Canis lupus familiaris: one gene and its partner. The protein of the gene in region 1 interacts with the protein of each later gene in a pairwise test. Links are inferred from orthologs where the notes say so. Each region holds a gene or a part of one and is shown on either strand. Other genes may lie near its edges.

What was found. The genes of interacting proteins can lie anywhere in the genome.
Region 2: the proteins of BANP (region 1) and CAMK2D interact in binary tests that used the Homo sapiens proteins (3 or more experiments, as listed by UniProt). The two-hybrid records come from large-scale screens. The link is inferred for Canis lupus familiaris from reciprocal best matches to the Homo sapiens genes BANP and CAMK2D.

The regions. Positions count from the first base shown.
Region 1 is NC_049226.1:65,737,907-65,742,266, reverse strand, and holds the start of BANP (protein BANP), read left to right. Parts: upstream 1-1,443; 5' UTR 1,444-1,567; intron 1,568-2,168; exon of another isoform or gene 2,169-2,591; intron 2,592-4,360. UniProt on the Homo sapiens protein: Controls V(D)J recombination during T-cell development by repressing T-cell receptor (TCR) beta enhancer function. Binds to scaffold/matrix attachment region beta (S/MARbeta), an ATC-rich DNA sequence located upstream of the TCR beta enhancer.
Region 2 is NC_049253.1:6,361,221-6,365,646, reverse strand, and holds the start of CAMK2D (calcium/calmodulin-dependent protein kinase type II subunit delta), read right to left. Parts: upstream 2,857-4,426; 5' UTR 2,368-2,856; coding exon 2,303-2,367; intron 661-2,302; coding exon 566-660; intron 1-565. UniProt on the Homo sapiens protein: Calcium/calmodulin-dependent protein kinase involved in the regulation of Ca(2+) homeostatis and excitation-contraction coupling (ECC) in heart by targeting ion channels, transporters and accessory proteins involved in Ca(2+) influx into the myocyte, Ca(2+) release from the sarcoplasmic reticulum (SR), SR Ca(2+) uptake and Na(+) and K(+) channel transport.

The sequences.
Region 1 (4,360 bases):
AAAAAAACAAAACAAAAACAAAAAGATCAGTCTACATTTATCTACTCTGTACTCAGATATTTGCATGTCCATGTTAAGAATTCTTAGTTAAGTGTTTAGTTTTGGCTACGGTTGAGGCAGAGGTGGGGATAGAAGACATTGCCCTCACTTATCTCTCAGGATTTGCACGTTTAGCTTCTGCCATCCTCTTCCCCACTATGAGCACACTCTAGACCAGAGTGTTTTGGTTTCTAAACCCTGGTTTTGTCTTCTTCCAGCAGTGTGACCTTGCTGAGCAATTTCCCTTCCTCCCAGGACAATTCTCATTTCAATGCGAGCATCTTTTCCAGCACCGATCTTCTGTGATTGTTCTCTGTAATTTCTTCAAGGCACCTTTCCTGTAAAGCTAAGCCAAAGATCAGCCTCGGTAGATCCCCCAAGTGTGCATTCTGGAAGAGACTATTACTAGCAAGGTTGCCCAAGGGCAAGCAGCTCGTTACTGCCTCCAAGAATCAGGTTTTTATCATCGGCAAAAAGGGAAGTAGGCAGGAAAGTTACAGAAACAGTAGAGCATTTTCTTTTCCAAATGAAAATAGCTCCACAGTCTTGTTTTTGGACGACCGAAGAAATTCTTGCCCGTTGTAAACAACTCAGAAAACAAAGGCAAGTGTAAAGAAGAAAACAAAAAGCAGGGTAACCCCAACGCACAAGAAGAGCAACAGTGATACCAGTGAGCAGGAGTAACATTGCCGGATGGTGTGTACAGCCAGTGGTTTTTCCCCACGAGCACCAACAGACCAGCACTTATGCTACACACGTGTAACACAGCCACATGCACACCGCATGTTCGTGTACATACGCACACACAGAGATTACTTCCACACGGGACAGGTCACACCACGAACACACATTTTCCCCCACGCGTGAGCCCTGGGAAGTGTGGTCAGACTCCGGGGACCCGGAGCACCAGCTATTACTCGGGGGCACCCCTTCGGAGTCGCAGCGGCCTCAGGCCCCCCGTCTCCAACTACAAGTCCCAGCAGTGGCGGGCGCGGGCGCCGACGGGAGGCCGGAGTCCGGAGAGACTACAAGTACCAGCAGGCTTGGCGCACACGCCGGGACTACGATTCCCAGGAACCTCAGCTCGCGGCTCGCGCAGAGCCCTCCGGGATATGTAGTCGTCGCGCGCACCTAATTCCTATTCATTCAGCCTCTGAAGAAACGTAAATTCCTCTCGCGGTCCACCGACGCGACTTCTCACGGGGCTAGCGAGGAGACGGAGCGCGCGCCGGGAAAGGAAAGATTCCAGGCCCCAACCGTGGCGCGGCCGGACGACGCGTGCGCATGCTCGGCGGTCGCCGGCGCCGGCGAAGGCGCGCGCGGGAGGCCTGGAGCGGCAGGCCCCGCCCCCTGGCCCGGTCCCCGGGCCCGGCGCGCCCCGCGTGAGGAGCCTGCGCAGACGGGGCGGGGCGGAGGGCCGCGGGGAGGGACTCGCGGCGCCTGCGCAGAGCGGCGGCTTCTCTCGCGAGGACGGACGCCATTATCGCATCTCCCCGACAAACACCACGAGAATTCCGCAGCCCACACGGTAATTGCAGCTCCCGCAGCCGGTCGCGTCTCCACCTCCCCCTTCCCGCGGGGCGAGAGCGAGAGCGAGAGCGAGATCTCCCCTCCTCCCTCCTCCCTGCGCCCTCCTCCGGCCGCCGCGCCCGCGCCCGCCGCCCCCGCCCGGGACGCCCTGCGCGGCCGCCCAACGGCCCGCCGCCTTCGGCCCCGCCGGCGCGCCCCGCTCCCGGCGCCCTCCCCGCCCGCTCTGGCTCCCCCGGCCGCCGCCGCCGCCGCCGCCCCCGCCAGCCGCCCCCGCCCCCCGCGAGGGCCCCGCGCCGCGCCCCGGACGGACCCGGGCACAGGCCTCCCCTGTCAGTCGGCGCCCGGGGCCCGCGGGCAGGCCGCCCTGCGCCCGGTGTGCCCGCCCCGCGGGGCCGAGGGCTCACGGGGAGGGGAGGGGAGGGGAGGGGAGCGCTCAGGCTTGGGGAGTGCGGCCTGGGGTTTGCCTCGAGACCCCCGCCCCGCCCCGCCCCCGGTGGGCGCCCTGCACCGGGCGCTCCTCGAGGACGCGGGGGCTCGGGGGCTGCCGGGGGGCTCGGGGGGCTCGGGGCTGGCCGCCCCTGGCGCCCTCTGCACCGGCTGCACCCCCCGGCCTCGCCAAGGTCGGGGTAGTCCAGGGGTCGCCCCAGGTGAGGGACCCGGGGGACCGCCCGCCCATTACTCCGCTTCCGGACCGCCCTGCATACGAGGATCTAGAGGATCTGGAGGATCTAGCGGCGGGGAGACCGCGGAACAGCCCCCGAGATGAGTCGTCTCTGTTTAGCTTCGTTCTCCCTTGTGTTGCACTAAAGTGAGAACATGTGCTCAGGATGTTGGATTCCGTGGACATCCCGTGGCCTTAGGGTCTGGAAGTGGCTGCCGTGCCCGCGCTCTGTGCTGTGGCTGGGCCTGCGGACCACTCCCAGGGCTTCTCATCGCAGCCATCTAGAGAGGTGACCGGCCACCGGGGTTAGGACACTCGTCCAAGACGCGGGGAGCCAAGGCCTTGAACTCCTCTCTCCGAGGTCCGTGCTCTTAAATAATAATACATCTAGCAGTCATGCACACGGTAAACCCTCAGGGGAAAACTTAGGTTGAAGAGCAACAGCCCCGTCTTACTCCTCAAAGACTTAACATCTTTTTGCTCTTGGGGAAGGTCTCCGTAGCTCTGGAGAGTACCTTGGTATTTTATTAGTCTTACACATTGTTGACATTCTGTTATCATACGATGATTGAGCCCTTCCTATCATATCCCACCTTTTCTATCCCCTTAATTCACTGTGTTCACTTGACTCAGATTGTTTAAGACCGAGCAAATACTGTTTTTCACTTCTACAGCTTTCTGTTTTTTTCTGTTGTTTGTAGTGGCCTTTCTTTTTCTTTGCATTCTCTGTTCCCATTGACTCTTTACGTTGTAAATTATCAAGGGATAAGGTCATCTCTCCAACTCCCCACTCCTCCCTCCCCCCCATCCTCCTCAGCCCTCTGTCCTCTTTTTCTAATCTGGATTGATTACTCAGGCCAGTACAAGTATTCTTCTGATATTTTCCTTTATTATACATCCCAGTTTGTACAGGATTCCATGTTTTAATCTTGGCTTTCTTCATTTCAATATCATTTCTGCCAAATAGTCTTATTCGTTTTGAGTAACTCCTTACAATCCGCTTTGGTGTTAGGACATTTCCAGAGTGCCCTAGGATGTGGAGTCTCACTGTGGATGTTCAGTGCTTCTGGGCGCTTGCCCTTCAGCTCTGGGAAATCCTCTTGTATCTGACAATTTCCCCTGCATTTACTCTTTTATTTTGATGATGGACATCTTGGATTGACCCACTGAATCTTGTGTCTTTATCCTCTTTTGTCATTTTCTTCTCTTTTTTGGGAGAGGGCTTCAAGTTATCTTCCAATCCTGTTTAAAATTTTTTATTTCCACAGTTGAAAATTGATCAAAAACTTATGTGTTCTCCCCGCCCCCCCCCCCCCCCCAGTAGCTACTTGTGAACATATTCTTGATTTTGAGGATACCAACATGGGATTTTTTTCAATTCTTTTGTTCTTTGATTTCTTATTTCCTCTAGTGCCATTGTTGCCTTTTAAAAAATATTGGCTTCATACTTCATGTGGCAAATATTCCTTAAATATTGGTAATTGTTGTTTAAAGCAAGAGGAAATGGGCAGAGAGCTCTGAGTCTGTGGGGCTGGTTTTGAAAATGTGTGGGTCTCCCCTCAAGTCATTGGGAACTTGTTACTGTGTGGGACTTTGAGTGCCAGATTGCAGAGACTTTTTCTGTGGGTCTTACAGCTTAAGACCAGATCCCTTTGATTTGGGATTGGTCTACCTGGTCTAGGGAGGGTGTGAGCAGAAACGGCCTGTGCTCTGCTGAGTGTTCTGGCCTGCCACAGGCTTACCCACTTTGGCTGTACCCACTCCTGTATGCCCCAGATTGTGGTTTCCTTTGCCTCCATTAGATCCTATCAGTCTCCCAGAAATTTGCAAAGTATCTTGTCTGTGTCATATTTTCTTTCTTGTGGGATTGTTATATGCAATTAAAAATTAATTTAATGGGATGAGCAGAGATCACCTTTGTGGCAAGTTGCTCCTTGTGAGCAGGAATTACAGAGCCCGTTCTTGTCTTTCTGCTCTGCTGCCTCTCTTGGTAATGGATGCCATCCGTCAGTGGAACCGATGCCCTGAGCATTGTCCCCGTGGTCATCTCCGCGTTGCAGTGTGGGCGGATGTCGTGTGTTCCTCCTGGAGGTTCTGGCTCTGCAGCCTTGGAGGCATGCCAAGCTCAGC
Region 2 (4,426 bases), on another chromosome or scaffold:
TAATGCGGAAGACCCAGTATAGGTCTGGACTGCACACACGGAAACCTCAAAATCAAGCTGAACTTCCTAGAATATAGCAATGATAAATTTTTTCCTCCCAAAGCTATTACTGTTAAATATACCTTGATAAATTAAGTTCAAGTGTAACTACAATTGAAATATGATTCAACTGAGCTATGACCTATTTTTCCTCTTAAAAGCAAAAGAGAATAATGACAGTTGTGAGACATTTTTCCATTCCAGGGTATTTCTGAAAGTTGTTTCACAGCAGAGCTAAAAGCAAGACGCACTAAGGGACAACTTATTTGCTGTAAAATAGTTACATATGCTGCTGCTCACAGGACAGTTGGAATGATTTAATAATTTGTTGTTAAAATTCTATGTCTTCACTTAACTTTTAAACTATACATACCAAGAGGCATTCAAGAAGGAAGTAACTGCAAAAATGTAAGAGGACACCTAAGTCTACAGTTCAATTATAACTATATATTTACAGACAACAGAACAATCAACATGACAAATACATAATTAACATATACTGTATTATGTGGTTGAAAATACCCACCCCTAGCAGAAAGCTTTTTGGTGTTGATAATTTTGGCAGCATATTCTTGTCCAGTAGGGATTTTCATACATCTTCTCACCACTGAGAAAGCCCCCCTGAAAACCAATAATTAGCATGTCATCAATATAATCAGCTCTGATATCCTATTAAAAATCACAGCAATCTGAGCATTTTTACTGCATTTAGTGATTTGTAAAATATCAATGCGCTACAGTAATATCAGAAAATGAACGATTCTTCCTGGGAACCCAAGCCTTCTTTAATGTTGAAGAATAAAAGTAAATTTTATTTAACTGGGAGCACACATTATTAATCAACATAATGAAAGAAACTGCCAATTATGACGGCTCTTGTTTGCCCAGGAAATTTGAAAACATTTTACAATTCACACTCACATAGTACCAAATGCTCTGAGAAGGGAAAAAAAAAAAAAAAAAAACCTGCAAAGAGCATGGCTGAGGAGGAGCAGCAAAAATCTGCTGCCTATTTATTAGAAAAAAAAAATTAATGTGGCTCCAAGTAAATATGGCGATTGTTTTCACTAAAATAGAAATCTTGGGAACATTTGTGTGGTTTAATAAGTCCTGATACGGTGATTTCTCTGTGCCCTCTTTTGAGCTGGGGGAAGGGTGAGATTTGAATTAAGCTGCTCTTCCGACATAGTCTCCATGTTTTAACAGCAGACAACATATAAATATGTAAGGATATACTTGTCATTACGTTTAAAAGATAATTACAGTTTCTTGAATTCAATTGTATAAAACATACATACATACATACACATAAACGCACCCCTTTCGTAAGTAATAGTCGGCACTAGCGATAGAGGAATAGGGTTTGGGTGGGATGCTACATAAACCAACATTCACGGTTTGGCCCCTGGGTCCCTAAGCACACAGGTCCTCAGGAGGTCTCTGGTCCCCTTCCTTAAATTCTCCGAGGAGTTCCGCCAGTCGGGGCGTGGGAGGTCGTTTTTATAGGACGCTAGGCTACCCTTGGCAAGCTTTCTCTCGGTCTCCAGGTCTTTTCCGTCGCCTGTATAAATAAATCCTCCCAGAGAATGCGAAGATGTACACGTAAATCCTAGGAAGGATGATGATGAGCGAATAATCTAGGTGCAAAGGGTAGTGGATATGGGGCAGGGGGTCGAGTTCCTTTGGTGACCCTCTTCCTGGACAGAACAACTACTGGACGTGAAATAGACTCCACGCCAAGTTGAACTTTCGGCATCAATAAATATGGCACCGTCTGTGGCAGGGAGTTCTCGTTCGTACGTGGGTCGTACGGGCGACACGCCGGCTAACCAGGAGGCATCTCTATTTACAGAAAACACGATCTATGTTGCATTTTACACGGGTTCTTGTTTTCTCTCCACACACACACACACACACACGCACGCTCGCACACTTCTCAGGATGACAGCTACAACTGCAGGGATCGTAAATCCACTAAGTCTCTAGTGCAAGAGGGTTGGGGTGGGGGGGGGTGGGCGGGAGAAGGTGGGTTGAGGATTATCGGAATGGGCCACACAAGCGGGGTGGAGGGTCTTTTCCAGTCTCGGTCCCCCTCCTCTTGCTAGAGCAGCACCTTGCTCAGAGCCGGCCACGCCACTGGCCCTCCTCCCACTCCTCGGGTCTCCCCAGCTCCCTCGCCCCGCGCGGGAGGCCGGTGGGTCGGGGAACGCTACCCGCCCCTCTGCTGGGAAGGGGACGTGCGGACGCGGGCAAAGGCGCTTACTTTCCGAGCTCCTCGAAAAGCTGATACTCGTCCGTGAACCTGGTGCAGGTTGCGGTCGAAGCCATCCTCTCGGTGCGGGCTATGCCCCTGGCTGGGAGAGCCGGCGGACGCGACTCCAACAGACGCGCGGCTTCCCCGGGACTGGCCCCGCGGCGCTGCCACCCAGGGCCGCCCTCACTTTCCTCGTCCGAAAGTAGCTCGCCCGGGAGGGAGTGTGCGCAGGGGCGGGGCGCGAGGGGAGATGACCAGAAAGGGTGGCGTGGGGTCTCCTCCCCACGGCCCGCCGATTCTCCTCCTCCTCCTCCTCCTCCTCCTCCTCCGGCCCGTGCTTCCTTCTCCGCGGGACGCTCCACCCGCCCCTTCCCAGCCCCTCTCCCCCAAATGCCGGGGGCGAAGTACTCGGGAAGAAGGGGCCGGGAAATGGAAAACAGCCGGGCACGGGGCGAGAGGCGAGCAGTTGCGAAACTAGCCGCACCGGGCTGGAGGGGAGGGAGCCCGAGGGGGCGGAGGCCGAGGAGCCGGGAGCGGACAGCGCGAGCCCAGCTGCAGCTGTCAGCGGGCGCGGGGGGCGCGGGGCGCGGGGCGCGGGGCGCGGGGGGCGCGGGGGGCGCGGGGCGCGCCGGGGCTCGGCCGAGCGTGCGCGCCCGGGGCCCGCCTGCCTCCCGCGGGCGCCTCGGCTGCCTGGCGCTGCCCCTGGGGCCCGCGCCGCTCCGCTGCGAGGCTGCGCGGCTGCGCGGCGAGAGGAAGAGCGCTCGGATGGGGCGAAGCCCGGGCGGCCCTCCGCGGGCCTGGGCCTCCGCCTCCTCCCCTCGCCTCCCCTCCCCTCCCCCGCGCTCCCTCCGCGGAGCCCCCTCCTCGCCGGTCCCACACCTCCCTCTAGCGACTCCCAGCCCGGCGCCTTCGCGGACCTCGCTCTCCGCCCCGGGTCTCACGCTCGCGCACACCCGTCGGGGGGCCGGGGGGGGCGGGGGGGGCGGAGGATGTACGAACGAGCAGCCCGGCGAGGGTTTAGGCGAGTGAGGCGACACGGCGAGCCGCCCAGGTGACCTCGCGGTCAGGCGGCTGCCGACACTGGGGCTGGATGCGGCGGAACGACGCGGGGCGAGCCGCGGGCCGGCCGGGGGGTGCCCCCGGGGGGAGGGCGACGTGCGCGGCCGCGGCCGCGTCCGCTCGGCTCCGCTCGGGGTCGACACCGCGGGGGCCGGAGGTGGGCAGTCGGCCGCGTCCCGCCCGGGGTCCCGGCCTCCCACAGCCCCCGGGGACTCCGGGCCCGGCCTGCAGAAGCCGCGCCGCCGCCCGCAGCCGGCTTAGCGAGGGGCGCTGCCCGCCGTGCGCCACGTTTCACGTGTGAGGCGACTGCACCTCACTGCCCACGTGCCCCCGCGCCGTTTTCCAGGCCGGGTCGCTCAAACTCTTGACAGACAACCCCCGCCCCAGGCCTTCGCTTCAGCCTTTGCCGAAGGCTAGAATGAAAGCAAACACTCCCCGAGCGAGCGAGGAGCGAGCCACACCCTCCCTTCAGAGTAACTCCCGCGTAAGCTCAGGAAGTTCTGATAGTAAGGCGGCTTCTCGCGAGATCTCCGGCCCGGGCGGCGGGGGCGGGGGCCGGGGGCGGGGGCGGGGGCGGCTGCTGGGCAGGTTGGGTGTCGGTCACGCGACCTGGCTGGGGCTGACGTCACTCGCATCACGTGAACACGTTCCGGCCCGTTTCGTTTTGCAAAGGGAAGAAAGAGAAGTCTAGCGGCCGGGCGTGTTCTGCTCGCATGACCGAAGACCTGGCTAGGCAGTGACCCGGAAGTACGCTTCGTAAGCGACTTAACGGTTCAAGAGTGTGTCCTTAGCATTAGCAGACAGTAAATAGGAGGAAAAAAGTAGATTTAAAATAAATCGCTGATCGCTGAAACAACCCCTGGCCCTCCCTTCTGTCTTTAATAAACTATGCATCTGCAATTTTGAAGGCAGAACAAAACGGTTTTGAACGGTCTTTCCAAATTGCTGTCCTTTGTTTTACAGCAGGGGACCCTAAAAACCTCGTAGTTCTGGCTGATTTGTTCATGATTAGCATCACATCATGGACTCAGATTTCCGCAGCTGGAAGATAAAGGATAACTTGGATATACAGTC